Rattus norvegicus: one gene and its partners. The main gene of each other region encodes a partner of the protein of the gene in region 3 in a complex. Links are inferred from orthologs where the notes say so. Each region holds a gene or a part of one and is shown on either strand. Other genes may lie near its edges. The genes, in order: Hus1, Rad1, Rad9a and Rhno1.

What was found.
Region 1: the proteins of Rad9a (region 3) and Hus1 are in contact, whole or in part, in a crystal structure (PDB 3GGR), measured with the Homo sapiens proteins. The link is inferred for Rattus norvegicus from reciprocal best matches to the Homo sapiens genes RAD9A and HUS1. Residues at the interface, in NP_004575.1 of Homo sapiens: Leu157, Pro158, Pro161, Val176, Ala186, Lys191, Ala192, Met193, Val194, Thr195, Glu196, Met197, Cys198, Leu199, Gly200, Asp203; in NP_004498.1 of Homo sapiens: Thr84, Asn87, Arg90, Ala91, Lys93, Thr94, Phe110, Ser121, Ser123, Ser126, Arg127, Ile128, Val129, Thr130, His131, Asp132, Ile133, Pro134, Ile135.
Region 2: the proteins of Rad9a (region 3) and Rad1 are in contact, whole or in part, in a crystal structure (PDB 3GGR), measured with the Homo sapiens proteins. The link is inferred for Rattus norvegicus from reciprocal best matches to the Homo sapiens genes RAD9A and RAD1. Residues at the interface, in NP_004575.1 of Homo sapiens: Leu76, Ser82, Val83, Ser86, Leu90, Lys92, Leu112, Phe116, Gly117, Val118, Arg119, Lys120, Thr121, His122, Asn123, Leu124; in NP_002844.1 of Homo sapiens: Glu165, Ala166, Ser168, Glu169, Asn195, Ala196, Gly197, Ser198, Ser199, His200, Leu201, Asp202, Tyr203, Pro204, Asp206, Ser207, Glu211.
Region 4: the proteins of Rad9a (region 3) and Rhno1 are in contact, whole or in part, in a crystal structure (PDB 8WU8), measured with the Homo sapiens proteins. The link is inferred for Rattus norvegicus from reciprocal best matches to the Homo sapiens genes RAD9A and RHNO1. Residues at the interface, in NP_004575.1 of Homo sapiens: Val41, Ser44, Arg45, Ser46, Ala47, Tyr48, Glu130, Leu132, Gln133, Ala134, Val135, Glu165, Tyr181, Glu183, Thr216, Phe217, Cys218, Gly244, Pro246, Val261, Leu262, Ala263, Thr264, Leu265, Ser266; in NP_001239428.1 of Homo sapiens: Thr88, Lys90, Phe91, Pro92, His93, Leu94, Thr95, Phe96, Glu97, Ser98.

What each region holds. Positions count from the first base shown.
Region 1 is NC_086032.1:87,912,338-87,919,522, forward strand, and holds the start of Hus1 (checkpoint protein HUS1), read right to left. Parts: upstream 4,798-7,185; 5' UTR 4,780-4,797; coding exon 4,728-4,779; exon of another isoform or gene 4,390-4,727; intron 4,301-4,389; coding exon 4,173-4,300; intron 4,093-4,172; coding exon 3,916-4,092; intron 2,026-3,915; coding exon 1,918-2,025; intron 913-1,917; coding exon 838-912; intron 1-837. UniProt on the Homo sapiens protein: Component of the 9-1-1 cell-cycle checkpoint response complex that plays a major role in DNA repair. The 9-1-1 complex is recruited to DNA lesion upon damage by the RAD17-replication factor C (RFC) clamp loader complex.
Region 2 is NC_086020.1:61,186,251-61,193,655, reverse strand, and holds the start of Rad1 (cell cycle checkpoint protein RAD1), read right to left. Parts: upstream 4,848-7,405; 5' UTR 4,603-4,847; intron 4,384-4,602; 5' UTR 4,319-4,383; coding exon 4,121-4,318; intron 2,677-4,120; coding exon 2,568-2,676; intron 277-2,567; coding exon 18-276; intron 1-17. UniProt on the Homo sapiens protein: Component of the 9-1-1 cell-cycle checkpoint response complex that plays a major role in DNA repair. The 9-1-1 complex is recruited to DNA lesion upon damage by the RAD17-replication factor C (RFC) clamp loader complex.
Region 3 is NC_086019.1:210,920,224-210,927,621, forward strand, and holds the start of Rad9a (RAD9 checkpoint clamp component A), read right to left. Parts: upstream 4,939-7,398; 5' UTR 4,852-4,938; coding exon 4,818-4,851; intron 4,736-4,817; coding exon 4,665-4,735; intron 4,230-4,664; coding exon 4,101-4,229; intron 3,830-4,100; coding exon of another isoform or gene 3,738-3,829; coding exon 3,623-3,737; intron 3,542-3,622; coding exon 3,442-3,541; intron 276-3,441; coding exon 166-275; intron 83-165; coding exon 1-82. UniProt on the Homo sapiens protein: Component of the 9-1-1 cell-cycle checkpoint response complex that plays a major role in DNA repair. The 9-1-1 complex is recruited to DNA lesion upon damage by the RAD17-replication factor C (RFC) clamp loader complex.
Region 4 is NC_086022.1:163,321,226-163,328,588, forward strand, and holds the start of Rhno1 (RAD9, HUS1, RAD1-interacting nuclear orphan protein 1), read right to left. Parts: upstream 4,162-7,363; 5' UTR 3,833-4,161; intron 2,451-3,832; exon of another isoform or gene 1,418-2,450; intron 987-1,417; 5' UTR 903-986; coding exon 738-902; intron 1-737. Other genes in the region: Foxm1 (forkhead box protein M1), read left to right, coding at 6,653-7,154. UniProt on the Homo sapiens protein: Involved in microhomology-mediated end-joining (MMEJ) DNA repair by promoting recruitment of polymerase theta (POLQ) to DNA damage sites during mitosis.

The DNA of each region.
Region 1 (7,185 bases), on a different chromosome or scaffold from region 3:
GAAACTGATGTAGAGACCCACAGCCAGACATTAAGTAGAGCCCGGAGAGTCTGTGGAAGGGAAGGAAGGACTGAAGGAGCCAGATAGGTCAAGAATGATACAGAAAACCCACAGAATCCACCAACCTAGGCCCACAGGGGCCTATAGAGACTAAACAGCCAGCCAGACAGCATGCACAGGACCGACCTTGGCCCTGTGCATATGTAATAGTTGTGCGACTGCATCTTCCTGTGGGCACAGGGGCTATCGGTGACTTTGCTGCCTGCCTGTAGATCCCTTTCCCCTAACTGGGCTGCCTTCTCCAGCCTCCATAGGGGAAGACGCACCTGTTCCTACAGCACCTTGACATGCCAAGGTTGCCTGGTATCCAGGGAATATCTCCCCTCTTCCTGAGAGGAAAGTGAGAAGGCAGGAGACGAAGGGGAGGTGACAGGGAGGGACTGGCAGGAGAAGAGGGAGCCGAAGCTGTGCTGCAATGGAATGTAACATAATGTACTCGGGACGTGACATAAGTAAGTGAATTAATAACAATAACAAAACCTGCAATGTTCTGTCCGAATTACAAGAAACAAAATACCAGAACTGTTGACTGTGCTTCTGATATACTATAAACACGAGAGATTAAAGGCAAGTTGAATGCTTTCCCCAGTGAGTAAGAGCTGAAAGGTCCCTAGAAGCCAAGCTCTGTCCTTCCCAGTGGGGCCTTAGTGAAGAGAAACCTTGTGTCTCAGGTGACGGAGCGCCTACCCCGGGGACTAGAGTGAGCTGCCTCCCAGGATGAGCAGAGCACAGAGCTAGGCTCACTCGCAGCTCTTTTCGGAAGGAGTAATAACTTACAAGGTGATTGCTGATGTTCCTCATTTTATCCACGACACTCTTCATTGTCTTCAAGGCTGGTAGATAAATACTGACCTAAAAACGAGTAGGAGAAATCACAAGCCTTAGGAATCATAATATAGTCTATAATGACAGATATTCAATCAACAGCTATGAATGATGCTCATATTTAAAAACTCAGAATCACATTTTTTTAAAAAAAAAAATCCAAATAAAGTTGCTTTAAAACTTTAAAAACGTCGCTAACTTAGTCAAGCAAGTAAAGATACCTGAATACCTGGCTCTGGTTACCATGGCGACCATACTCCCAAGGGCATTGTTACGGTTCGAGAAGGAACACAGTACTTCAGCTGAGATGCCCACACGCAGGTCCAAGGGGAACGCACGTCAAGTGCTGAGCGGGAAGCCTTCCTCTGGGAAGCATTTATAGGACTCAGGGGTCTTTGCTGTACTGTGTTTAAGAGTACAGCCAGACAGCATCACCTCTCGTTTGAACTGTCTTACCTACAGAGCCGTCTGCAATGCTGGCTCCCCTCAACCTATACAGACGCTTTCTGATGACTGTCAGCTGCACATTTCATTCACTACCTGAGTAATTTCCTTTCACATAGGCAAGGCAGAGGACCAGTCGGCATCCTCTTTGCTTGCAACGGCTCTGAGGTTCCTAGAAGTGCCATAGCCAACCTAAGCTTCAAGTCAACAAAATGCCTTTTCTGACTCCTTCATCAAGGCCTATGAAACATTGGTGCTTATGGCCAAGGGTCATGATAAATACAGATTGTCTTCCAAAGCATAGCTTAGGCTGTTTTCTTTTGTATGTAGGCCATCACTGAGCAAAGGCACTTGCCCTCCAGGACGGAAAGTGTGCCATTTCCAAATGGGTATCAGTTCTTTTCCAGGATTTACAGATATAGCGAAAGGCACTTACTCACATCTGGAGTCTTGTTAAATGACTCGCATTCTTTTTCAGAAACTATACAACTTCAAATAAAACACACTGTAAGATAACAACTAGCATTAGAGAATTCAAACCCTGCCCTTTACTGTGTGTTCAAGCACTGGACTGCAGACAACACTTACATCAGATTCTGGGATGGAGGGTTCTTGTAAGTCCTTCCACAGTCTTCTCGGAATAACCTTTATGGGGATATCATGTACCACAATTCTGCTACTGCTTGATGAAGACAACTGTTAAGAAAAAAAAGAGAACAGTTTATGCTGACAATGCTAAAACAAAGCCAAAACACAAGAACTGATGCTAAACATTTTCCGGTCCAACTGGGATGTTCTTAATCCGTTCACTCAAACTGCATTCAATCAATGCTCTTGGTGTGCTGTGCCTGTTCTGCTCAGGGCCCTGTGAGTCTCCCAACAGTGTGGTGACTGAGACAAGACGGATGGACAAGAGAGCAGGCAACCACAGATGTACTGGATACTCATCGGAGCCTGAGGAAAGCACATCAGCAACGAGGCTGAGGAAGCGAGAGGTGATGGTGGGGAGGAGTAAGTGAGAACCTCTGGGGTGCTGCCTCAGAGGACATCAACACTAGAGAGGCAGACGACTGTCAAGAAGCTGAAGGTAAGGTGACAGGGTTTCAGTCAGAGGAACAGCATCCGCTTTCGTAAACCTGGGAGAGAGAAAAAGGCAAATCCGCCAGGCCACATCCTCGGTGTGCTGCAGCTTTTGCAACACTAAAAGGATAAACCATGTTTATTACTAGAAGCATTTCTAAAACTCGAAAACCAAAGTACTGCTGGGCAGTGGTGCACACGAGGCAGAAGCAGGTGGATCTCTGTAAATTCAATTCAGCCTGGCCTACATAGTGAATTCTAAGATAGTCAGGGCTACATCCTGAGAATCTGTATCAAAACAAGATAACAAAAAAAAAAAAAAAAAAAAAGAAACGAAAATTCTTGCATTCTTACTTAGAAAAGTATCGAATATTACCATCTCGCTTTTGCTTAAGAAACTAAATAAATCCACTAAGCAGTGGTGCATGCCTTTAGTCCCAGCATCTGGGAAGTAGAGGCTGGCAGATCTTTGAGTTTGAGGCCAGCCTGGCCTACAGAGCTAGTTCCAGGACAGCCAAGGCTACAAAGAAACCAAAACAAAAACTCAAAAACCAAAACAAACAAAAGAACTAAATAAATCCAAACATACAGTTACACAGAATGCTCTAAGAACACATACAAATTATGAAGGCATGCAATTTAACTTCTTGAAATTAATTAACAGCTTGAAAACAAATGCAATATTGGTCTACAGAGCATGTAAAAAAGGAAGGCTGTACAAATAAGGAAGACCCAAGTGGGTTGGGGCGAGCACTGAAGGAAGGGAAGGTCCTGGAGAGAAACTCCACATGGAAAGCCCAACCAATGTCACTGGTACGGGAGTTGGGCAAAAAAGACATACCTAGAGAGGCACTCAGAAGCTAATAATTGATGGTTTGGCTCCAAGATTGCTTGAACCATACGTGAAAGACCTTGAACAAGTTAGGAATGAAAAAGTCCATCTTATACACATGCTTTTGTGTGTTCTGAGGAGAGGCTGTGCACTACACTCATCTGGTAGTAGCATCTAAGACAAATGTGTTACTGAAGTATGAGGACTGTTTAAGAATATCACAGAAGACAGGATACGAGGGGGCAATGTTAAGGTGAAAATGGAAACATCTAGACAAGGTGACAACACTCTAGAAGAAAGAGATACTAGTTAGCAGTTTGACTCTTTGGGAAAAGCTGTATCTCATAGAACATTGTACCATCATGACTGTTGATAAATGACTAGAACAATGCGCGTTTCTCATGCATAAGTTATGAACCAGATCTTCTATTTTATTTTATTTTGATACAGGGTCTTTATGTCGTCCTGGAACTTACAGAGATCTTCCTATCTCTGCTTCCTGAGTGCTGCCGTTAAAGACATGTACCACCATTCTGGACTCAGATTTATATTTTAAATAGAACTAATTCACTTTTATGAATATTGTTTGAAAGCTCAGGCTGGTAGCCATCTATATACTGCCTAGACCAAGGCACTTGTAAAAAAAAATCAGAAATCCTTTTCTTCCCACTTACCAGCTCTACGGACACGGTTAGACAGGGAAAGTGCTTGTTAGTAAGCTTGATTTTCAAGGCTCTGGCGTTCTGGGCAGTCTTCAAGGCTCGAGCTAAGTTTTCCGACGTTAATTCTAAATAAATCTCATTGTTTTCTTCAGAGACTCCTTCCATTTGGAATTCACTAAAAAAGTTCTCCTGCAGGACAGAAACAGGCATTTGTAGCCTTCCCAGCATGCTTAGCTGGAGACCAGGGTAACCTGGGCTCTCCTGCTCACCTGCTCCAGCTCACACCACATGCTCACGCCTCCACTGGCCAGCTTGTCACAGAGGATGAAGTTCAGCTTCTCTGGGCTGATGCGGAGGGTGCAGGTTTTGGCAAGCTTGGCTATCATGTTACTGACTCCTACAACGAGGGGGTACACAGTTAACTAAGCAGCACACTGAGTGTCCTATAGGTCATCTTGCGGAAAGAACTTCTAGCTCACAAATCACCTTTGGACGTCCTGCCAGTCTCCCAACATCCTGCGAGACTCAGCCCACAGCACCAGAGTTCAAGACGGAAACAGAATAAGGAAACAGCCTCAGAAAACAACTGACAACCGGGAGCCGGGCGTACATTCCACAGAAACGTAAAATCAGTCAGACACCGCAGCACAGAACTGCTAGCAAGGTTAGGCAAACTCCGGGCGGAAAGAGGAGTGAGTGAGGGCAGCAAAGGAAAGGTCCCCGTTAACCCTCCTTCCCTCTTAGAGCCGCCCTCACCCCGCCAGTCCTCTCACAGGGGCTGCAGCCACACTCTCCGCCCGCTCCCCGAAGCCCTGCCAGCTCACGTGTAAAGTGATTCAGACAAGCCAGATCCACGATCTTGGCACGAAACTTCATGGCGGATACCAGGCCGAGGGCGGCGTCAGTCCAAGGCGTACCAAAGTCCCTCCCCGAGCTTCCCGGTGGGGAAACACGGACGCGCGCACAGTGGTTCCGCGGGGGACGGTGCGGCCGGAGAGGTCCGCCCACTGCCTGCCCTGGATTAAGTTAGGCGCGCTCGCTCGTCCACCCACACTCTCACACCCCGAAGGCTGCTGGGAACCGGATCCGAAAAGTTTAGATACTTGGCAACATAGCGTTTTAATGTTTTGAAAATTGTTTGAAACTTTTTTTTTTTTAAATTTTGAACACTTTACTCAGTAGTTACCTCTAAAAACAGATGTAGTGAAGTGATAATTCTGCACCTTTGTCTCAAAAGAAACTGAACGGAACCTATAAAATACTTATTAGCCCCAGCTAATGGGGGTGCTTAGGCAAGAGGATCTCAGGTTGGAGACCTGTCTGCATGTCTTAATGACATTATGCCAACAAATATTATTTTAAAATGAAAGAAGGAAGGGGGACAAAGAGGATGATGGGGAGTAGGAGGAGGAGGAGAATGAAGAGGAGGAGGAAGAGGAGGAGGAGGAGAAAAAAGAAGAAAGGAGAAGAAAAAGAGGAGAAGAAAGAGGAGAAAGAGAGAACACGAGTGGACTTGCTGAAAAGGATTGTGACCTTTGCACTAATCCCAGTACCACAAACAAACAAAAGCCCTCTTAGTGTAGCAGTCTTAGAATTGTTTTAAAAGAATTTTAAACCCAGAATAGAATATTTTGGTTTTACAAGGATTATACCTGTAAAAATTTAAAATGGTGTTGGGATTAACGTCCCCCACCCCAGCTCCCCACTTTCATGGTAAGCACTCTTTCCAGTGCACCAGATATCCAAACAAAATATTCTGACGGCTCAGCTGGTAAAAGTGTTTAGCATGAAGGCCTGAGTTTGGGCCCTGAAATCCCAGGTGTCATTTCAAAAGTTGTTCTCTGACTTCTGTATGTGACTTGTGTATGCATCAGCATGCTCACTTCTACACAAAAACAGTAAAGAAAGATGTTTTTCCAAAAACTGTCTTTACCTTGAGACACAGAGTTAAGATATTAATAAAACAGCTGATGGTGCAATTACTGGGAAAGTAAAAAATAGAAAAATATATATAACAGGAAGCTATACTCTACACTCCGACATAGAAGTGATTGGCAAGCCAAGTGTCATTAACTTTGAAATATCAAATGTCACAAGAAGTAAGGTAATTGTTACATATATTGTGTGGTTAAAGGCTGTATTGTCTGTGTGTGCGTGCATGTACACAGGGTCGTCCATGCCTTGGAGCCCATGGGAAGGTCAAAGGGGGAATCTCTGGTTTCAGTACTAAACAACCATCTTGTTTGAGTCGGTCTGTCATTGCTGTCAGCTGATGAATAACCCAGGCTAGCTGAAACGTAGCTCCCGATGATTCATCTATTTCCGTCTCCCATTTCACCATAGGAGCAATAGAATTACAAATATTAGCTAAATCCATTTGGGGTGGGTGTGTGTGTGTGTGTGTGTGTGTGTGTGTGTGTGTCTGTGTCTGTGTCTGTGTCTGTGTGTGTCTGTGTGCGCGCACGTGCGTGTGCTAAGTGAGGATTTGAGCCTGATTTCCTGTGATTCAAGGCAAGTACTTTACCCACTGAGCCATCTCCCCAGTTCCATAAGACAGTATTTAAAAAAAAAAAAACACTTTGTAAGAAGGGCCATTATATCTGATCTTTAATTTAAACAGCTTAATATTATGTAATAAAATGGCAACACATTTTAAAAATATTCCTAAGAAGAGATTTATGTAATGATGATGACAGCATGTTCCTTGCTGATGAGTCTCAGGAAACGTAAGAATTTTACTTAACAAAAATATAAGAAAACTCTGATAATCTTTTCATAGAAGAAAATGCTAATAATATATTCTAGCAATTAGGCTAAGTAGGTTTAGAAATCGAAGCCAGTGATTTCAGAGTTGATAATTAAATATATTGACATTCCATATTTTCCTTCCAAATGATTTTGTTGACAAAAGAAAAAACACTCTAGAGAGTTCCGGAAGTCATATATGCCAGAGCATTTTCTAGTGCAATGTCTGCTTGTTTTTTTTCCATCTAGCCAGTAAATGGATTTTTGATTTTATAAAGGCCAAACCTCCAGGGCAAGCAATTCAGTCACATGAGGATCTGTGGAGCAATGTTGGTGTTGTGTTTACTTACTGGGGAGGAAAACATCTTACCTGATCTGGTCTCAGGAAAGGAAATACATTACACAAAGAAAGTTATTCAGTGTATACAGCTAGAGGTCAGAGAAGACCCTTAGAGCTGCGGGGATATACAACCTGGGTTGGTTACATGCCTTTACTGTCACCCAAAGCTGGCATGGCAGTGCCTGTCAGTCCTTCTT
Region 2 (7,405 bases), on a different chromosome or scaffold from region 3:
TAATTGCACTGTCGTACCTGAAGTAGGGCTTGTCAGGAGACACGGTGATCTGTAGGACATCACCTGTCATGTCCAACTCAGAAAAGGCTTCCCGGAGTCCCTCGGACTGCAGGATAATTTTATTCATAACATTGGTGCTGCAGAAATCAAAATCCAGTGTGTCCTCAGGCTCCTGAGTGGTAATTTTGCAGACCGTCACTACTCCTCCTTCTTCTAGAAATAGCATCAGTGGGTGACCATAACCTTGGTAACACATCCGAAGTGCAGTTAAAGTCCCTGCAGTAAAATAAATCATGTGGGGCTTAGCTCCGTGGCTCTGGGGCTAGCGTTCCCTCCAAATGCCACACATGCTACCTCAAGAATAATTTATCTCCCAAGCTTCTAGCATGTCTGACTCTTCTTAAAGATACCTAATTCCAATAATGCCAAGGAAACTGGGAATCTGAGCAAAACCCAACTTGACGAAATGATTTTCCCACTTCTTATACACAATGCCTCTTATTGAGATACAGTATTATTTTAAATCAACTTGATAGCAATAGAGGGTAGTCATTGGTGATGTAATTTAACACGTCAAATCCCTACAGAGGAGGGATATAAAATATCCTGCTCCTTCCTACTGGTTAGAGAGCAAGTCAGGGATATGGGAAATCAAATATTCTCAGGAAAAACTGAGCTGAGGAACATTGCATTTGTAAATGCATAATTAAAAACATGTATTTACTATATGTGTATGATGGCTATGAGTGTGAATACATATATACATGACATACATGCTCATGGATGTCATAGAAAATCTCTTGAGAATTGGTCCTCTCTACCATTGGACCTAGGAATCAAACTCAGGTTTTGTTGAGCTCCCTTGGTAAGCACTTTAATAAGTTATCTCATCTGCTCAAAGTGTGAAATTGGACCCAGCTACAGATCACGACTAAGACTTGCAATCCTAGGGGGTCACAGCAAGTTCCAGGTCATCTAGGGTACATTGTATGGCAGAGTACACTGTAATCCCAACACTCAGAAGTTAAGACAGGCATACCTCAAGTTTAAGGCCAACCTGAGTTATACTCAGGACCCTGCAAAACCAAAACTTAATTATGGACCTGCCAGTGCAAAGCCATGAGTTACTTCCCAATGAAATAAAGCAATTCTCGGATTCTTTTGGGATCCTTCTGGACTTATATACAGGGTAACTGAATTTCCTAGTCAACGGTCAACTGGGAGTCAGCAAAAATTTGCTTCTCTTTGCCTCTAAGTAATTCTGAGTAAGTTAGAATAAATATGTAATTAAAACATATTTCACATTGCTAAAGATATTTTAAGACTTTAAAGTCTTTTGATTTAAAATTTTTACAAAAAAATTCTTTCAAGTTATTTATGAGTACACTGTCGCTATCTTCAGACACACCAGAAGAGGGCATCAGATTCCATTATAGGTGGTAGTGAGCCACCATGTGGTTGCTGGGAATTGAACTCAGGACCTCTGGTAGAGCAGTCAGTGCTCTTAACCACTGAGCCAACTCTCAGAGCACTGTGATAACTAATACTGTTAACTTGGCAGGCTCTAGCATCATCTAGGAAACAAGCCCCCAGGCACATCTGTGATGAGGGAGTTTCCTGATCAGGATGAGGTTGTAGGAGCCCCACCCTAAATGTAGGTAGCACCACTTTAAGGGCTTCCCTCTTAGACTGAATAAGAGAGCCAGCTTCCTGACTGTGGACAATGTGAGCATTTGCCTCACGCTCTTTCCTTGCTTCCAAGCCCTTCCTTGCCACATGGCCTAAACACTCCAACTGTGAGCTGATATAAACCTAAACTGCTTTGTAGGTCATTTTTTTCTACAGCAACAAGGAAGGTAACAACTTACCCTGCATAGTAAGATGAACTAAGATGAATGAATGCCTTCACGAATATGTAAAGAACTGTAAACAAATACTCATCTGGCAGTCTGAATATTTATGTTTATGATTGTCATCAGTGGGAGGAAAATGAGCTGAGAATTAGTTTCCCTTTATTCTTTGAAATTTTAATCCATGTAAACAAATCCACACCCTAATTATTAGGGTCTACTTATTAGGGTTAGGGTTAAGGTTAATGTTCCCTCCCTAGGACCTCCAAAGAAATGATTTTCTCCTCTGCTCCCAGCTGCCAAAAGCTCCACTAGGAGTGGGACCCCAGGTCTTCCCTGAGCAATTAGATTTCTAACAAAGGATTGGCTGGCTTGGGGCTGTAGCTCAGCTATAGTAGAGAGCTTGGCTAACATGTACTAAGTGCTAGTTTCAATCCCCAATACCACATAAAACTACAGGTGGCTGCCTATCTTTATCATCTCCTCAGTCGAGGCAAAGGCTGGAAGGTAAGTTCAAGGTCATCCTCAGTTATACAGACTGCTCAAGGCCAGGCTGGGATACATAAGACTGCCTCCAAAAATAAATAAAACATAGAAAAGCTCATATCCCAGAAGTCTTACTGTATTTTCTATGCTTTTAACCATAATAAATGTTTATGCCACAACAACAGTAGTAGTAGTAGTAATAATAGTAGTAGTAGTAGAAATATAGTTCACCTGGTGTAGGACTTGATCCAAAAATAGATAAACAGTCTAAAAGGATAGTTAAGTTAATTCGAAAAGTAACGGATTCTTCCTGAATGATAAATTCTTGAAATACATCAGCCTAGGAAAGAACAAACATGCAAACATGAAAGTGAGGTCATAGTAAGGAATGAAAAATTCACACATGAGAGTTTACATTTCACTTTATGCTTAGAAAGTAACCATACTGTGCCAACTCCATGAGACTATTTCTCATTCCCAACTAAGGCATGCTAACTTTGCAATGTTTATCACTTGAATACTACTTGATGGTTTAATCATTAAAGGTGTAACACTAAGGCCCCATTTAGAAGCTCCTGAAGGGGGTAGGGGTAGGATATGATGAAAATATATTGTATGAATTTTTTTTTTGGTTAAAAGGGAGTAGGAGAGATGGCTCATCAGTTAAGTACACTTGCTACACTTCCAGAAAACACGTTTGATTTCCAGCACCCACATGGTGACTCAAAACCATCTGTAACCAATTTAACCATAATAAATGTTTATGCCACAACAATAGTAGTAGTAATAGTAGTAGTAGTAATAGTAGTAGTAGTAGTAATAGCAGTAATAGTAATAGTAGTAGTAGTAATATAGTTCACCATGGTGACCCAACACCCTCTTCTGGGTTGGGCAGGAACCAGGCACATGCCTTTTGCAGACATTCATGCAGATAAAACATTCTTACACATAAAATTAAAAAGTAAAAACCAAAACCAAATAAAAAACCACAAAGACAACCCCTCTCAGCAAGGGTCCTTCATTTTCATTTCTGGATCTAAATCCACTAAGTTTATCCTAACTTTGTCTTTTGTGCCTATCAGTTAAAGCTAAAGTCACTTCAGGATAGGACAATTTAATAATGCATGCATGATAATTATTTCCAATTTCTTTTGAAAACAGAAACCATGTTTTATTTATTCCTACATAATTGTGAGTTGATACTATACTCAAGCGTTCAAAAACATGAATTGAACATTGAGCTCCGACCTGACTCATACAAATACTACATAAGAATAGATTATAGCTGTGGGTGATGGTGGGGCTTTGATGCCAGTACTTCAATACAAGGCAGAAGCAGGCTGATCTCCAAGAACTTGAAGTCGATCTAGTCTACAAAAGCAAGTTCCAGGTAACCAGGGCCATATGTTAGACTGCCTCGGGGGGAAAAATGCTATTACAGCCAGTAAGAGGAAAAACTAAAACATGCATTTCAATAATTATATTGTAAAGAGTAAACATTCTCGGTTGTTATCCTAACTAAATAAGACTATTGAAAATTAAGTCTGGTGCCACTTATGTCAAATAGGAAAGATAAAGTGTCTATAAAAGGTAAATGGTGATGAGTGTCTCATTAATAAACTGTCACTAGTAATCGTTCATCTGTGTGAGACAAGATGGGGAAAGTATTTGTTGGCAGGAAAGAAAAAAGTAGGCATTTTGTTCTCTAACTTGAGTTTTATGGAATAAGTCCTTCAAGTTAAACTCGTTAGGGAATGCTTAAAAATGTCTCCACTCCCCCATACCTGAATAAAGGCATTGGCTTGCACACACTTTGCATTTTCCACGGTAACCTTGATTCCATTTTTAGTAGCAAAACACGTGGCGTGTTCTTTGAAGTGAATGGCTTTCAAGACAGTGGAGAGATTCCTAACGTTGTCAAGGCTGGCCACTAAGCAGTACTGTTCGTACTCATCCTCATTGTACTGGGTTAGGAGAGGCATGGGTGGACCACTGTACGTTCAGCTCAGAGAGAAGGATGCTCCTCTTCCGGAAGATCTCCGAAAACCTGAGACACGGAACAACAAACCCCGCGATCAGTGCTAACAGGACTGGCGATCTCAACCCGAGCCGAAATCGGGAACATTCTATCTCCATGTCTCAAAACTACGGTTTCCTTGTCTGATACAGCCGGAAAATGCAATTCACTGGGTAGTTCTAATTGGCGCGGGTTCCTACAGGGTAACAAGAGCACGAGGCCTGCTTAGCCCCTCTGAGCGCCACCAACCTTAGCCCGCCACAGACACCTTAGACCGCGGCGCCGACCGTCACCCAGCTCACCAGCCCGCTCGCCGCACAGCGGCCACTAAGGGGAGCCCCGGGCGCCAGGCCCCTGCCTTTGAGGTGACGTCCGATCCCGTAAAGCCCTTGTCAGCCTAGCCCCAAGAAGAACACCCTGAGAATCCAGAAGCCAGCAAGCCTGGCAAACAGCTCCCGCCACTGTTCAGACCCGCAGCCAACCAGGCCACCGTCACCACCGAGCCGCCGGGTGCCTAGATAGTCTACCACAAGACCGGAAGAAAGCGTCTGAGAGCTGGATGACTAACTCAGGGCTCAGCGTGCACTACCATAGAGATCGGAAGAAGGAGCGAGCGGCGGAACCGGAAGTGTGGACAGCAACTAACGCGGCGAGGCAGGATGGCGGCGACTAAGAGAAAGCGGCGTGGGGACCTGGAGGTTCAAGCAAAGAAGCCAAAAAAGAACCGGAAAGATGCCGGGCAGCCAGCTAAGCAGGCCGATGTGGCAAAAGAGGCGGAGGAAGAAAAAGATCGTATTCCAGGTCCTGTTTGCAAGGTAAGAGGCCCGACTCCTGGAGTTGGAGTCGGCTTCCTGACCCGCCTTTGAGCTACCGAAGTGACTTCAACCAAAACTTGACTGGATTATGAGCTTAAGGTTCCCTTGACTGGACAGGACAGTGTTATGTCTAGTTTTCGTGCAGATGGCCGTATTCCTGGAAACCGCTGTTCGTAGACCCTTAGCCAACTAACAGGGAGGTAATTTAATGAGTATTTAGTTCTAATATTCTGCCTTCCGGTTACTGGTCCCCCGCCTCCCCAGAGTAATGTTTTTTCTTTTTCTTTTTTTCCTCAAAGTCTTTATGGTGTATCAATAAATTCCTTCCATCTTGGTCCATATCACACGGGGTTACCAAAGTTTGTTTGCCAAGCCTTTAAAGTTACTGTCCCTGTGAGTCCAACTTGTTTGGTTAGATCTTTAATTCAAAGGATAATAGTATTTTTTTTTTTTTTTTCGGAGCTGGGGACTGAACCCAGGGCCTTGCGCTTGCTAGGCAAGCTCTCTACCACTGAGCTAAATCCTCAACCCCGGGATAATAATATTATCAATAATAATAAACTTAGACCATTAATTTTACTGTGCTCAACAGTGCGTCACACTTATACCAAGATGAGCTTTCCTGGCCTTGGCATCTAGGAGACGATGAACAAGATTTCTTTCCTCCAGAAATACTGGAGTTTAGCAGGAAAGAAGGCTTCATAGAAAACTGGGTTTATTCTAAAGGCGAGCAGGTTCTTGTTAGAGTTACTTTCCGTCACCTGAAAACTCCTTAAGCAAGGTATATTTATGGAGGAAATCTTGCCTCAGACTTTTCTGACCTTTGTGCTTAGTGTAGTACTCTAGTACTAAGTAAAAAGTAAATGTGAAAGGCCAGTGTATATTGTACCCCAGTTTTAATTAACAGCTAAATCTCATACCCTTGTCTGAAAGGATAAAAGTGACTTTTTCGAAAAATAAGCTGGACTCATAAGGTTTTCAATAAAAGTCAGTGCTCTCTTTTAGGAGTCAGACAGAAACATGTTGGGAACTGTAATCTGAGTCACACTATGATACATTAATTGAAGTTAATGAGGCAATTACTACTTTTAGGGTGGTAAGGAAACATGTAGGACTTAGCCTTTTAGCTGGATTTCAAAGAAAGGGTTCAATTTATATATTGGGGGGGAGATGAAAAAAATTCATCAAAGGCATTAAATGGGGGGTAAGGGTTGGTGGAGAAAATCTAAAAACTCAGCTGATTAGCTGAGAATGTGCAGGGTCAGTGTTGGGCAGTGGTGTTGTAAACAGTGAAAATGCATTTTATAGTCCATGTTGAAGTTTGGAAACCAAGATTAAATTGGTGCTAGTTAGCTGTCACAGTGATTCTGTCTGGGAAAGCCAGGCATTCAAGAGCTTTGCAGCTGTTGATAATCAGTTATAGGGATTTAAGGACACTGTAGGCTTTACAAACTGTTGTAAAGAGGAACTGATAGTGGTCAGTGGTGCTTATGATGTCTGTGAGAAACCAGAGGCAAATGGGATCTTCAGAGTATGAGCCCCTGAAGTGAGGTAGCAGAAGGAGGGAAGGGCTAAAGAAGGGGGGAAGAAATATTGGTAAGGAAATATGCAGGTTTAGGCTTGGTAAAGTTTAGTGTTAGAGTTGAGTTTGAAGCTTTACTCTGTCTGATACATGTATAATTAAAGCTAGAAAGAGTCTTGCCTTTCTGTACAGTTAAACTGGAAATGAACATAGGAACTGTAATGGGGAGAATAAAAAGTTAAAGATGTTAGGGGGCTAAGGAAAGATCCTTGCAGTGGTGAGGGTGGTGAAGTAGTCCGTTTCGTTTTAAGACCTTGGCCTATGTTCCCAGGACAGCCTTAAAGTCCTGGTCCAAGTCCTCCTGCTTCAGCCTCAGTACTGGGACTAAGGAAGTATATCAATGATGCCTGATACTGGAAACTTGAAAAACTGTCAAAAACACACGAAGTAAGTTCAGCACAAAATGTTAAAATCTACCGTTTTCTTTTCTTTAGGGCAAATGGAAAAATAAAGAGCGGATCCTCATCTTTTCTTCCAGAGGAATAAATTTCAGAACAAGACACTTGATGCAAGACTTGAGAATGTTGATGCCTCATTCTAAAGCAGGTACGCTAGCATTGTGCTTTACACTGTGTGTATAGACCTGACTAACATATTTACATATTTACCTGTTTGCTCGGCTTTGTCAGGTAAAGAACCACAGTACACTACTACA
Region 3 (7,398 bases):
GCTCTCCCTTCTGGGGCATGCAGCTGCTGGAAGTCCTCCTCCCCAATGCTCGTCTCAGTCACCATGGCCTTGCTGGTGCTATCTATGTGGCAGGCACAGAGGAGTTAACATCCTTGAGTCACTCCTAGCTCTTGTGCCCTCCTGGGACAGGTCTAACTCCCTCACCTGCCTCCTCTTCCTGGTAGCTGCGCAGGATGACGCGTCGGCCACGGCCAATGCCCAGGGTCACCTCAGTCAACGCAAGGGGAAAGGACAGAACCGCCTCTGCCAGAACCCTGTGACAAGGACAAACATCGGATGTGCACGAGATGCTTTGCCCACTCTTATGTTACTTGCCTGGTGAGAAGCTCTTAAGGCAGTGGAAGCGCAGACTAAGTAAAACCAAAGCCTAGACACAGCAGAGGGGCAGGCAAGGCAGGTTGCTGTGGGAGCAAAGAGCCTTTTGCTCAGGGACCCAGGAACGAGAGCTCGGAAGTGGGGGAAAGCAAAGCTGGGTACAGGACAACATTGCTGTTAGTCCCAGCTACTTTTTTGGGGATGGGTGGGGGTTGTTTTAAAACAGGTTCTTTACATTTAGCCCTGGCTGACCTCAAACTTAGCAATCCTTCTGGCCTTTTGACTCTACCCCCCCCACTTTTTAAGATTTCTTTTATTTATATGGATATACTGTAGCTGTCTTCAGACACACCAGAAGAGGGCATCAGATCTCATTATAGATGATTGTGAGCCACCATGCAGTTGCTGAGATTTGAACTCAGGACCTCTGGAAGAGCAGTCAGTGCTCTTAACTCCTGAGCCATCTCTCCAGCCCAACTCTACCTCTTAAAAAGAGCTGGGATGGGGTTGGGGATTTAGCTCAGTGGTAGAGCATTTGCCTAGCAAGCGCAAGGCCCTGGGTTCAGTCCCCAGCTCCGGGAAAAAAAAAGAGAGAGAGAGAGCTGGGATTACAGGTGTGCACTATCATACCCAACCCAGGGGCTCAACATATCAACCCAGGGGCTCAACAACACCCTGCACCCATACCCAGAAGTGGAACAGCGATAGGTCTTACTATATAGCTTGAGCTGGTCTTGAACTCACAGAGATCTACCTACCTCTTCTTCCCAATATCAGGGATTAAAGGTGTTGAACACCAACCCAGGCCTTGCCCCCATCTTCTAAGGATTTATAATGCTGAACGTTTATAGAAAAGTAACTCCTAGATTTGCCTCAAGACTATAGTCTTTGGGTTCTGTCCCTAGCATGAGATGGAGGTGGGGTATCTGGCATCTATATTTGAATTTTTTTTTTTTTTTGGTTCTTTTTTTCGGAGCTGGGGACCGAACCCAGGGCCTTGCGCTTCCTAGGCAAGCGCTCTACCACTGAGCTAAATCCCCAACCCCTATATTTGAATTTTTAAAACTTATTTTGTGACTGTGTGTGCTGTGGAGAGAAGAACAGCTCCGACGCTCTGGTGCACATGTGGAGACTAGAAAACCCATGGGAGTCCATTCTTCCACCATGTAGATTCTGGGGATTTAAAACCTGACAACTCAACCAGTCAGGCTAAAAAGAAACAGGCTTAACTGCTGAGCCACCATCCTGACTTCTATATTGAAACTATATGAGGAAGAGAAGCAGTTAGGGCTGGGAATTTAATTTAGCTCAGTGGTACAGAGTACCCAGCAAACACAAGGTCCTGGGTTCTGTTGCCAGTATTTAGGGGGGAAATAGCCCCTCCAAAAAGGAACTCTTATCACTATTAACAGACCCTGGGGAAGATGACACTGGGACCTGAAGGGACTTCAGTCTGAGAAATGAGTGGGACCTTGGGCTACTTGCATGCAGTGTCCAGCACAGGCAGGGGATGCTGGGAGAACCCACTGCATTCTGGGCTTCAGTGACCACCTTAATGTCAGCTGGAACACTCTCCTTGCCATGCCTTGTCTTGACGTGGGCTGTCGGGCTGTGCAGCAGCCCTCCTAGACTCCAGCTTCTTTGCCCAGGTCCTTCCTTTGGCCCAGAGTCTAGAGCCCTGGCAGTTAGGAAGAAGCCACTATAAGAGGAATATAACACTACCCGGCTGGAGAGATAGCTCAGTGGTTAAGAACACCCAACTGCTCTTCCAGAAGTTGTGAGTTCAATTCCCAGCAACCACAAGGTGGCTCACAACCATCTGTAATGGGATCTGATGCCCTCTTCTAATGTGTCTGAAGATAGGGACAGTATACTCATACATTAAATAAATAAATCTTAAAAAAAAAAAAAAAAGAGGGACACTACCAGAAGAGTGAGAGGTCAGAGGGCTTTGAAACTGTGACACAGGGTCAAGGACAGGCTGTCAGGGTTATTCAGGTCATACAAGAGATCTGCAGGGGGCTGGAGAGATGGCTCAGAGGTTAAGAGCACTGTCTGCTCTTCCGGAGGTCCTGAGATCAATTCCCAGCAACCACATGGTGGCTCACAACCATCTACAATCAGGTCTGGTGCCCTCTTCTGGCCTGCAGGCATACATGCAGGCAGAAAGCTGTGTGATGTATACATAATAAATGTTTAAAAAAAAAAAAAGAGATCTGCAGGCAGGTCATAGGTTCTCTCTAGACAAGCAGAGCAGGCCTCTGGGATACACAAGGCAGGACCCACAGTCAGTGGGAATGGCGAGAGACAGCAGCTTCTGTTCTTGAAGAGCAAGGTAAGCGATGTGTGGCCTTGACACAGAAACCCCGAGTTTCCGCCTTAGAGGCAAAGGTGCTTTTGTGTTGTGTGAACGTGCATGGGCAGAGGGCAGAAGACATGCTCAGTGCTGCTGCTTCTCAGGTGCTGCCCATCTTGGTGTTTGGTTTGGTTCCTTTTTTTAAAGACAGGGTTTCTCTCTGTAGCCCTGCTTGCCTGCCTGCCTGCCTGCAACTTGCTTTGTAGACCAGGCTGTCCTCACAGAAAACCACTGCCTTGCTAAGTGCTGGGATTAAAGGCGTGCACCGCCGGCCAACTGACATTACACATTCTTATCTAAGCGAGGACTCGGAACAGGCACCCATGCTTGTACATCACACATTTACTGAGTTATCTCCCCAGCATATGCACCCTTTTTTGAGACTGTCTCATAATACCTAGGCTAGCCTAGAAACTCACTGGCCTTGAAACTTCTGACCTTCCCACCTCCATCCAGAGGTGGGAAGCCCCACCTTGCTGCCACAAGGCGCTCTAGGAAGAGTTAAGTGCCCTCTGTATACACATGCAGCCTCAGAAGACAGGGCCCAAGCTGATGTCCCAACAACTCAAGAGGAAATAAACTGAGCCGAAATACCTGTCCACCATCACCCTGTAAGGCCGAGTGAACGCCAAGCCTAGGTTCCCCACTCGCCATCCTCATCTCATTCTGAGAGTGAGATATCCTAGAATAACACTTAAGGCCCCAAAGGTGGGAGAGACTCAGGTGAAGTCCGAAGCAGGCATGCTCACCGTGCTGGGGTGCGGAGTAAGTGGGGGCATGAGGCTGGGTCGAAGACAGCCTGCAGGGATTCACAGTCCTGGAAGGAGAGGTTGTGTGTCTTCTTGACCCCTGGATAGGGGAAATGGTCTCAGTGGGCTTGACAGCCTTCACTCCACTCCCCCACTCTTAGCTGGCCAGCTGCCTGCTCACCATATTTGCAGTGAAGCTGGACCACCAGGTGGCTGTTGCTGCCACTGAGGGAGATGCAGCACTTCTCCACAGTCTTCTCCACCGTTGCCAGAGAGCGGAAGACGGACAGGAAGGACTGGGCAGGGTAGGACATCGGCCTGGCACTCTGCTTCCATGGACCAGCTCTACATCCCATGTAGGCCCTGGTCCATCACTGGCCCAACAAAGCTGTGAAAGGGGGCTCCCACTGCATGCAGGATGTCTGCACATTACCAGGCTTGTCCATGCTGTTCTCTTTGCTGGGAAGGGCTGCTAAACTTTTCTTGACCAACCTGAATGTCACCACCCTCTCCAGTGCTCTTATAACCCTCTAGAGTCTAAACATCTCGACCTCACTGCATTTTGCATGGACTAGCTCCCATATGAGACTAACTCCCTAGTCATCATTTACTGAGTACCTGACACAGGCACAGCTGTGGATGCTTCAGGTGGTCCTTACCTTCATCAGGATCTTACAGCGCAGCAGATCCTGACCAGGGGAAGCTTCCTGGTATTGCTGGAAGAAGAGGGGGGCAAAGAGGAAGCAGGCATAGGCAGAACGGGAAGAGTTCACAGTCCGTAGGGAGAGCTGAGGCACAAAAAGCAGGGAAGATAATAGTCAGGGGCCACGTCAGGCTCACTAAATGCCCTGCATTTCATCCAGCGGCAGTTCTCTTCCATCGCTTCCTAATGAAACTCCCCTTCCCTTTCTGTGTGGCAAGACCTTCTTGCATGTAGATCTCCCAGTCTTCCGCGGCTCAGGGTCTGCCATGCTTGTTTTTCCCTTAAGTTACTTTAGCCCCACCTTGCCTGCCACAAGGCGCTCTAGGAAGAGTTAAGTGCCCTCTGTATACACATGCAGCCTCAGAAGACAGGGCCCAAGCTGATGTCCCAACAACTCAAGAGGAAATAAACTGAGCCGAAATACCTGTCCACCATCACCCTGTAAGGCCGAGTGAACGCCAAGCCTAGGCTCCCCACTCGCCATTGAATCGGCCCCCATCCCTGCGTCCCAGTCTCTTACCCCGTCCTTCAAGGGTTCCAGATAGAGCTCGTCCCCGATTCGGGATAGCGAATGGACAGCCTTTCCCAGCACTACGGAAGGAGAGCAGAAAGTGGTTAGGGGGACTCCAGGGGCTTGCTCACATGGTCTGCTGCAAAGCAGGTCTAAACTTACCCTTCACGTTGCCCCCAGTGATCAGGCACTTCATGGTACATAAACACTGAGGCCGAGCTTGTTTTACAACCAGACCGGGACGGGATACAACCCACAACGAGTCCCAGCAGCTACTAGGAATGCCTAAAGTTCTCTTCCCGCGCACCGTCCCCTCCCCGCCGCCAGCCTGGCCTCCGCTTCCTTATTGGTCCACCCGGGGTTCCTCCGTCACGTGAGAAAAACGTTCCTAAGCTCGGCGCCACGTGATTCAGTCGTTTCCTTGGGTGTGGCCTGGGTCACGTGACTACGGAGGGAGCGCTCCTGCGTCCTTCATCGGGTCTGGCTTTCCCACCCTGCAGAGTTCTGCTGCTCCACCGGGCTCCCACATTAGATGCAGTTCCGAGGAGCAAGGTGCCTGCACCAAGGATCGAGTTCTGGACCAGAGTCCGAACATGGGAAGAGTAGACCCTCTGGAGTCACTAACTTTAGTGTGTGGGGTTACAGGGTCAAGGAAAGTTCGCGCTCAATCAGGGCCAGGGATGATTCTGTTGTGGCAGCAACCACCAGCTCCCCTCAAAAAAAAAAAAAAAAAAAAAAATTAACGTAACTTGCTTCAAGAACCATGAAAAGAGGCTGTTCATTCTGATTTCAGGATCCTTCACTGACCTTCATAAATACACGGAAAGATCAGAAGGTTCTGGGACAGAAAAGGGTAGAAGGATGGGTCTGTCAGAAGCAGAGGCACAATGGGGTAGGACCATATGGCTGGGTGGAGTGTCCCGAGCCTTGAGCCCGTCAGGGCTGAAGGGATGAACTGGGAAGTCGTGGAAAGGCTTAAGCACTACACGTAGTTTGTGTACACGTTACCAATTACCCAGACAGTGTCAAGGATGAGGGCTATCAGCTGGGATGCATTCAACTTTCTCTGGGTTTTAGTTACTTCAAGTGTGAAAAGAACAGCCTAGAGCAACACTTGCATTTCCCTGCTGTGTCCTGTGGGTTAACGGGAAGTCTGTATTAGTTATCTAACTCCTCTTTTTTAGGCTCCTCTCCCTCTCTAGCTTCTCCTTTCTTAAAGCCTCCGGGGAGGAGACTGCTTTCCCATTCCACATCCAAGGCAACCAGTGTGAGCAACATAGAGGCGTCCAGTTCACTGTTAGACTGGAGTTAGCTGTTAGCATCCTCTCCTCCTCATCTGATCAGTTCTTCAGTGGATTCTGATTACTTTGTTACCAAACAGACGGCAAAGTGGCCCTCCTTGTCTCCACTGTCCTCAGCGATCTGCCTCCACCAGCTTAACTCTCCAAAGTCTGGTCTCTTAATCTGGAACTTTCAGGATCCAGGTCCCACATGTCTTCACTGTATCCTACCTCTGATCACCTATCTCCAAAGTCCTGTCAGGCCCTTGGCTGTCACTCTGGCTGCTTCCAAGGCTGTGGCCTGCTTTTCCCATGCTGGCTTCTCTTCCTAGGCTCAACAGCAAAGATTCCCTCGGCACAGAACACTCCATGGTGCCTATCAGTTTTCCTGTGTTTAATACTTGTGCTCCCTGCTGTTGTGGCTACTACACGTGGGCTGGAACTGCATCAGTTTTGTCTGTTGCTCTGTCTTGTGTGCGTCACACACAGCTTAGGATCAATAAATAGGTGTTAAGCCAGGTATGGTGGCTCATGCCTATAATCCTACCACTAAGGACTTTGAGAATTTGAGATGCCAGCCTGGGCCACATAGCAAGACCCTGTCTCGGAAAAAAAAAAAAAAAAAGAAAAAAAAAGAAAGAAAGAAAGAAAAAGAAAAAAAGGAGGGCCTAAAGAGATGGCTCAGCTGCTCTTCCAGGGGACCTGAGTTCAGTTCCCAGCAACCACATGGTGATCTGATGCCCTCTTCTGGCATGCAGGTGTACAGATAGAGCACATACAATAAGTACATCTTGAAAAGAAAAGAACGAAGTTGAATATGTGGCACAGTTAAGCCTGACTGCTTCAAGCCACCCTCCACCCTGTGCCCACAGTGCCCCCATTCCTGATAATTCTACTCTTCCCATACTTAGCCTCCCAAAATGTAACTATAGGCATGGTCGCATAGGTTTGTAATCTCAGGGTCTTGGGAGGCTGAGGTAGAAAGACTGAAAATTCAAGAGGAGGAGGGTTAAAAAAAATAAAATTCAAGGGATTTGAATTTGGCTCAGAGATTAAGAGCACTGACTGCTCTTCCAGAGGTCCTGAGTTCAAATCCCAGCAACCACATGATGGTTCACAACCATCTGTAATGGAATCCGATGCCCTCTTCTGGTGTGTCTGAAGACAGCTACAGTGTACTCATAGACATAAAATAATAAACAATTCTAAGAAAAAAAGGACAATTCAAGGCCTGTTGAGATTAGAGAAAGTTCAAGGTGAGCCAGGGCTGGTGGGGGTGGGGCATGAGATGCTTGCAATCCGGAGGACGTGAGCTCTACAGCCATCATCCACGGCAGAGGAAGACTCCTGAAAGCTGTCCTCTGACTTCCCCAAGTGCTGGCAATCTCAAACACACTAACAATAGATGAAAGAAAAAATAAAGGGCTAGAATGTAGCTCTAAGTACAGCACTTGCCTGACATT
Region 4 (7,363 bases), on a different chromosome or scaffold from region 3:
TCCTGAGCAGGAGAGGAGACAGGCATCTCTCATGGCCACCACACTCCACTGCTCAAGCTTGTTTAACTCTGTCCTCGGGAGCAGAACACATGCTCTGCACACTCAGTTCAGTCCTCAGCAAAACCACGCCCTCAAGAGGGTAGGGACAAAGGGACTGTCTCCAACACCTGGCGAGGGCCTGGCAGGAAGGTCTTCAGCAAATACGACCGGCAGCTCCGTGTAAGTGAGACTGCTGAGGTGTGGGATCTAATCTGCATGTTCATTCAGTCAGTGCGTATGAATTTCTTTTGTCAGACAGTCTCACTGTAAAGTCCGGGCTGGCCTTTGCCTTGAGATCCTTCTGCCTCAGCCTCCCCAACGATGAACTTGCGTGAATTAGCACGCCACCTTTGTAGGAGGTTTCTCCACTAAAGTTCAGTCAACTGTAGAGTACCTAGTACTTTTCATATGAAATACAGGAAGTAATCTTTTATAAGTTGGTCATTTTTTTTTTAGCTTCTTCACCCAGTGACTGGGGAGTGAAGTGTTCAATCAGAACTTTTCAGAGGAACCTGGCAGGAAGACTCCAATTCCATATAAAACATATTTTAGTGTGAATGAAAAGAGGATATACCAGACAAATCAGGTAACTGCAGCCAGAAAGAGCAACTGCTTCCCTGTCCCTGCTCCAAAAGGATTAAGAGTCAGGATTCTGAAAAACGTAACACAGCAAAGGTCAAAGAATTGCGAGGACTCACCCAGGAAGTGATGGTGCTCTGATCAATGGGTTTGCTGGGCACCTGTACAGTGTGGGTAATGGGCTGCTGGTGAGATTCATAATGGGGTTTGGGGCCCTCCAGTGGCTGTTGGTGGAATAGCAGCTGGGCTTTCTGGCACTGTCTGCGTCTCTTTCGGGGAGGCATCAATGGGTAAATGAAGAACAGTTAGTAACAACATGATGCAGGCTGCCTTCCTGGTCTGGGTCAGAGTCCAGTTGCAAACCATGCCTGGAGAGAGGAAACAAAGGGGGGGGATCATGTGGGTGGCACCCCTCCCCCAATTCTTCATGACGTCAGGGTAACCAATCTATCAGAAACCACCAATCAGACCTCAGGTTGTAGGTAAACCAGCTTCCTATACCAAACCACGAGAAACATACGATCTTATCCATACTCAACAAAACTCACTCAGTGAGCACCCGCTGAACTCATGGTATTCTGACACACTGAGTGCTACGATTTAAAGACTTTAAAGATGGGCAAGTACTTATTCACAGTACTGAGTACTAAGTACCTGTAGTGACACAGAGGTCCCTGCTTTTGAGGCACTGTGGTACAGCACTTGCCTAATGTGCACAAAGCTGCAGGTTTCAGTCCCCAGAACTGCAAATGAGGGAACCGTGGAAAGGAAGAAGGAAAGGAAGAGGAAGAGAGCTAACCAGAAGGAAACAATCACATCTCAGTATAGCACAGTCCGCTTCAGTTCTCGTCAGAGAAGGCTTTCTGGGTAGGAAGACACTTAACCTGTGGAAGGAACCAGGAGAAGCAAAAGCCAGGAAGGTCACTGGAGGCTGAGGTGCACCACATGCAAAGACCGTTACAGAGGGCTTGGGGGCACATGCTAATTAGCACACCTGAGGCAAGAGATCTGGAGTTCAAGTCAAGCTTGGGCTGCACACAAAAAGCTCTCAAAAGCCAAACCAAACCAGATGCGGTGGGGCGTGCCTAGGATCCCAGCCCTAGGGAAGGGAGACAGGAGGATCAGGAGGCTCAAGGTTGCCTTTGGCTAGTGAGAGACCACCCTGAGTCACGTGAAACCTTAAACAGCCAAAACGCTGTTTTGTGAATTCAGAGAATCACAAGGTCATTGCAGACTGAGTGAAAGATAGCTCAGCAGTAAAAGAACTTGCCTCAAAAACCAAGGGCTTGAGTGTGTTCTCCAGAACTCACAAGAACTCGGAAGGCCGAAACTAATTCCCAAAAGATGTCCTTTGACATCCACATGTGTGGCATGTGTGTCCTCACAGGCATGTGTCCTCACACACAATGTCACTATCTATGAGGATGTGACTATCTAGCTAACAAAATAAAAAAGGAAAAGAGGCTAGGTGTAGGTGAGGTGGTAACATCCATCTCAAATCCCAGCATTCAGGAGCAGATTTCTCTGAGCTGGAGGTCAACCTGATCTATTTAGTGAGCTCCTTGCTAGTGGGGGATACAAAGTGAGACCCTGTTTTTAATAAAAGTTTTAAAGGATAAATGACAAAAAAAATAATATTAAACATGGTGTCAACATTGAGTCTGAAAACCAAGTGAGGCCACATGAGAGTGGGGTGGGGGTTGAGTAATCAATCATTACAGAATTTCAGATAGAAGCTTAGGCTCACATCTAGGTTTTGTTAAAAGACAAACAAACAACCAAACAACAAAAAAAACAGCCCACAGATTCTCTAGAACATAAAGAGGGGTCAACTGAGTTACGGGATGAGCCCCATGTACTTAGTACCCAGCTGGTTCAATCCTGACCATATATGATCTATTAGTTTCCCCTATCTTTCCCCTTGCATGATTTTGAAAAAAATGCATTCCTTTCAGTTTTCAGATTGAACCTCAGGCCTCAGCGTGTTAGGCGATAACGGTACCACTCGGCTGTATACCAGTCGTCTTATTGTGAGACATGGTCTTGCATAGCCTCGCCTGGCTTCAAATACACTGTGTAGTCTCCACCTCCCAAGTGCTGGTTCCCAAGGCATGCCCCACTGTTTTAGGTGCTTTTTCTGTTGCCATCATAAAATTCCCTGGAAGGCAAGTGAAGGAAAGAGGGGCTTATTTTGGTTCACAGTTCCAGGGTAGTCCTTTGTTGCTGGAATCATAGCAGCTGGGCACATCCCTTTAACAGGCAGGAAGAAGATGAACTCTCCTGCTCGGCTAGCTTTCTCTCTTTAGTCAGTCCAGGCCCACAGCCCATGAAATTGGGCCATATCCCACCCATCTCTGTCTAATCTAGATAAGCTCTTATATACTTACCCAAACAAAATCTAAGTCAGGTTTTGCACAATCTTGGCCTTTTTTTTTTTTTTTTAATTTTGAGATAGAGTCTTACTATGTAGCCTTGGCTAGCCTGGGGCTGGCTATGAATACCTGGCTGGCCTGGAATTCACAGAGATCCGCCTGCTTCTGCCTCCTGGGTGCTGGGATTAAAGGCGTGAGCCACCACATTCTGGTGTCAGTGAAAACCCACCAGCCTCTAACCTGTTCACCTCTCAAACACAGTCTTTATCTGCTCCCCATCTCATAGCATACCACGCCCCCTAAGTCTTAGTTCAAATCCCTGTGACCTTCAGCCTTTGTGTTCACCAGCCTAGCCTCCTCCAGTCAAAACATCTCCCTTCTTTTTTTTTTTTTTTTTGGTCTTTTTTTCGGAGCTGGGGACCGAACCCAGGGCCTTGTGCTTCCTAGGCAAGCGCTCTACCACTGAGCTAAATCCCCAGCCCCAAACATCTCCCTTCTTAATCTAGCTGCTTCAATGTTTCCTTCCCTTCTGTGTAATGGGTGACAGATCTTACACCTTGTTCTCAGCTCATAAGGAAGGAAGGAAGGAAGGAAGGAAGGAAGGAAGGAAGGAAGGAAGGAAGGAAGGAAGGAAGGAAAAAGAGAGGAAGAAAGAAAGGAAAAAGAAAGGCTTTCCTGCCCTAAGTCAAGATTTTCTCGTTAAAATAAATACTCAAATTTATCACTGGCGGCTGCGGGAGGGCGAGCCAGTGACCCGGGCTACTCCGAAGGCGGAAACACGAGAATCGAGAATTCTACACATGGGGATACCCGGGGTCAGACAAAACCCACCGGCCTCTAACCTGTTCCTCTGTAGCTAGAATTCTACCGATCTGTTCATCTCATTCTGGGCTCCCTCTCCATCAGACCACCGGTGAGCCCAGGGGAAGGACGGCCCGGTCTGCCACTGTACCTTCCACTCTTTCGTAAAGTATGGAAAAAAGATCGTCCGGACACCTCGGGGCTGGGCCCGAGGTGGAGGCGGCCACAGACAGGGGCGGGGCGTAGGGCACTTAACCGCAAGTCTGGGGACAGAAACCCAAGCTGGACCCCACGCAGCAACGAGGGCTGAGCCGCGCGGTGGATCCAGAGGTAGCCCAGTGGGTAGCTAACCGGGGGAGTGGCGTACGCTGCCCCGGAAGGAAGTCGACCACGGAGGCAGGGCGGTCCGGGGCGGGGCGGAGCAGGCTGCTGGCCGCGGTCCGCGCGTCCCCGCGTCCCTCCCGCCGTCCCTCGAGCTCCGGGGCCCCCTTACCCGCCCTCCCGGCCGCGGCCGCCGCTCCTCAGGACGCCGAGCGTTCGGGGCCGGAACCCGGAGACAAGCCGGTGCCGATTGGCGACGCTCCGTCACGTGACCGCAACGCTCCGCCGGCGCCAATTTCAAACAGCGGAACAACTGAAAGCGGCGCTGCGGGACCCACCCCCGGCCCGGGCTCACCCCCCACCCCGCCCCGGGTTCCCACCCCGGCCGTCCCGCCGGGACCCGCCCGCCCTGGCCTGGCTCGGCCCCGCGTGGAGCAGCGGTGGCCTGTGAGGTGAGTGGGGTGCGACCCGGTCCGGGGAGGGCTTGGAGTCGGGACTGCCGGGGCTGTGGGGCGCGAGGGGGTGTTGAGGACCGCCAGGAAGAAAGTCTGAGCCGCCGGCCTCGGCTTTCCCGCCGCGTTCTCCGAGCACCCCGGGACCCTGGGAACAGGCCTGCCCTCTGAGTCTGCACTTGCAGTCAACCCTGCCTCCGCCTCCACAGCTGCAGGGTGGGATCCTAGCTGAGCGTTGCAAGGTTCCCGGTTCTGTGTGGAGAATGGGGTCTTTGGGGATGGCTCTGCAAGTCGCCTTGCGCTAGAAGATTTTGGGAGTGTTAGGAAAAGGCTGGTCAAAGAGAGAGGTACCCTATGGTGGGGGGTGTCTACCATTTGATTGGGGTGGGTGCAGTGTGAAGCAAAACGAGAACTGAGATTTGAAGGTCGAGAGAACGAAGTATAAAGGAGAGAAAGCTACAGGGAGGAAGGGACCTAAGAAGGCTAAGCAGCTGGCAAATGTCAAAAAAGTGTAATTACTTTTTGGAAGGTTTCCTAAAGTGCCGGCTGTTTCTCCCTTTCTCGCAGGATTGCAAAATGGAGTGGCAGGATTTAATTTAATGATAAATTATTCTATCTATCTATAAAAACCTATGAAATGCTTTTTCTAAAGACTTCCTTCCTTAGCATTTCAAAGTGACTTTAGCATAGCCAGGCATAGTGGTGAATGCCTGTAATCTCAGCACCTAGAAAATTGGGGGCCAAAGGCTCAGTGGTTCAAAACCAGCCTGGGCTACATGAGACGCTATCTCAAAAATTAAAGCCACCTTAAGCATATTAATGATAGCACATTTTGGTATGGAGAAGATCTGTATTACAGTCTTTAGAAGCAGAAAAATCAAGTATTATACTTATAAAACTAAAATATAGTTACTCTCAAGTACCAAAATGTCACTGTGCAAATGCTTTGCAGATTTTGAAAGAAAGAATGGGACTGGAGAGATGGCTCAGTGGTTATTGACAACTATTGAAAAAAATTATTTTTAATTCAAGAGGATTGGAGTTTTTAATTGTAGTGTGCTTACCAAGCATTCACAAAGCTCCAGGTTCAATTCCTACCACTACCTAAACCTGGCATTGTAGCCACACCTGTGATTCTGGCAGGTGGAGGCAGGAGAATCAGACGTGTAGGTCAGCTGCATTATTTGAGACGGAAAGAAAAGGGCACTAGGACTATGGCTTGGGTAGAGTCTTTCATTCGTCCCTACAGTCATCGAGAGTGACCTGCATTCTAGTGGACAGTGGCTGGTATTTCCACATTCTTGTAGATGTGTATTCCTCTGGCCAAACATTCAAAAAGAGGTTTTTGCATTTTTACTGGGGCGGGGGTTGGGGAGGAGGGTTGCCCACATGCCACAGCACATGTATGGAGGTTGGAGGGTAACAGTCAGGAGCTGATTCTCTCTTCCCACCATCGTGGTCCTGGGGACTGAATGCAGGTGGCCAGGCTTAGCAGCTGATGGTTTCGGTCATTGAGCCATCTTGCCAGCCTCCCCTCCCTCCCAAATCTTTCTAGTTTGTTTGCCTTTTTGTAGTACTGGGAACTGAACTTAGGGCCTTGCTAAGCAAGCACTCTATTACTAAGCTACATTCTCAGCCTGGCCAAACATTCTTAAGCTTACAGGGGACCATGCACTTCAGTGCAGTCCCATGTTCCCATCTTGAAGTGTTTGCTGCAGTTTTCAGCTTTCCTTGGTCAGTGATAGGGCTTTATTTGTTTGTTCTTGTTTGCTCGTTTGTTTTTGAGACAGGGTCTCATGTGGCCCATGCTGACCTTGAATTCACTCTCTGGCTAAGGGTGACCTTAAACCTTCTAGGTGCTGGGATCACAAGTGTGCATCAAACCTAGCTTCTGTCCTTATTGTCTGAGGGTTGGACAAAGGTCCAGGCAGGATTCCCCTGGGCCTTTGAGCTTCTGCTTCTGTCTGTTCATGCAGAGGAACACTTCCAGTTTGTCTCAGCCCAGCAGATCTGATAGCAAGCTTCTCCTTGCCCTCTGCAGGGTCAAAGCTTGTGATTCTCGATGGAGAGTGAAAGCACAGCTTCATGATGAGAACCAGCCCCCGGCGGCCACTGATTCTCAAGAGACGGAGGCTGCCCCTTCCTATTCAAAATGCCCCGAGTGAAACCTCAGAGGAAGAAGCAAAGAGATCCCCTGGACAGCAGGAGCCTACTCAAGCACAGGCCTCCCAAGATGTGGCAGAGTCCAGCTCTTGCAAATTTCCAGCTGGAATCAAGATTATCAACCACCCAACCATGCCCAACACACAAGTGGTGGCTATCCCCAACAACGCGGACATCCAGAGCATCATCACAGCGCTGACTGCCAAAGGGAAAGAGAGTGGCAGCAGTGGGCCCAACAAGTTCATCCTCATCAGCTCTGGTGGGGCCTCATCTCATCCTCCTGATCCTCAATCTCAAGCCCAAACCAGCACTGATTCCAAGAGAACAGAACTGATCACCGAGACGTTGGGACCAAAGCCAGGGGCTAAGGGTGTGCCTGTTCCCAAGCCACCTGGAGCTCTTCCAAGGCAAAGACAGGAGAGCTGTGGTATGTGGTCTGCAAGGGTGTGGAGGTTGGCTTTTCTCCTCACTGGAAAGGTCTTCAGTGTGTCACACTGATGTCTGTGGTAGGCAGGAATCTAGGAGGAACCAAGAAGAAGGCCTTTTCTTCCTTTATTCTTTGAGCATTGAAACACCTGAGAGCTGTTGAAATGGTTATAGTAATGTAGCTTTCCTGTTGCTCTCTTTATGTTGGAA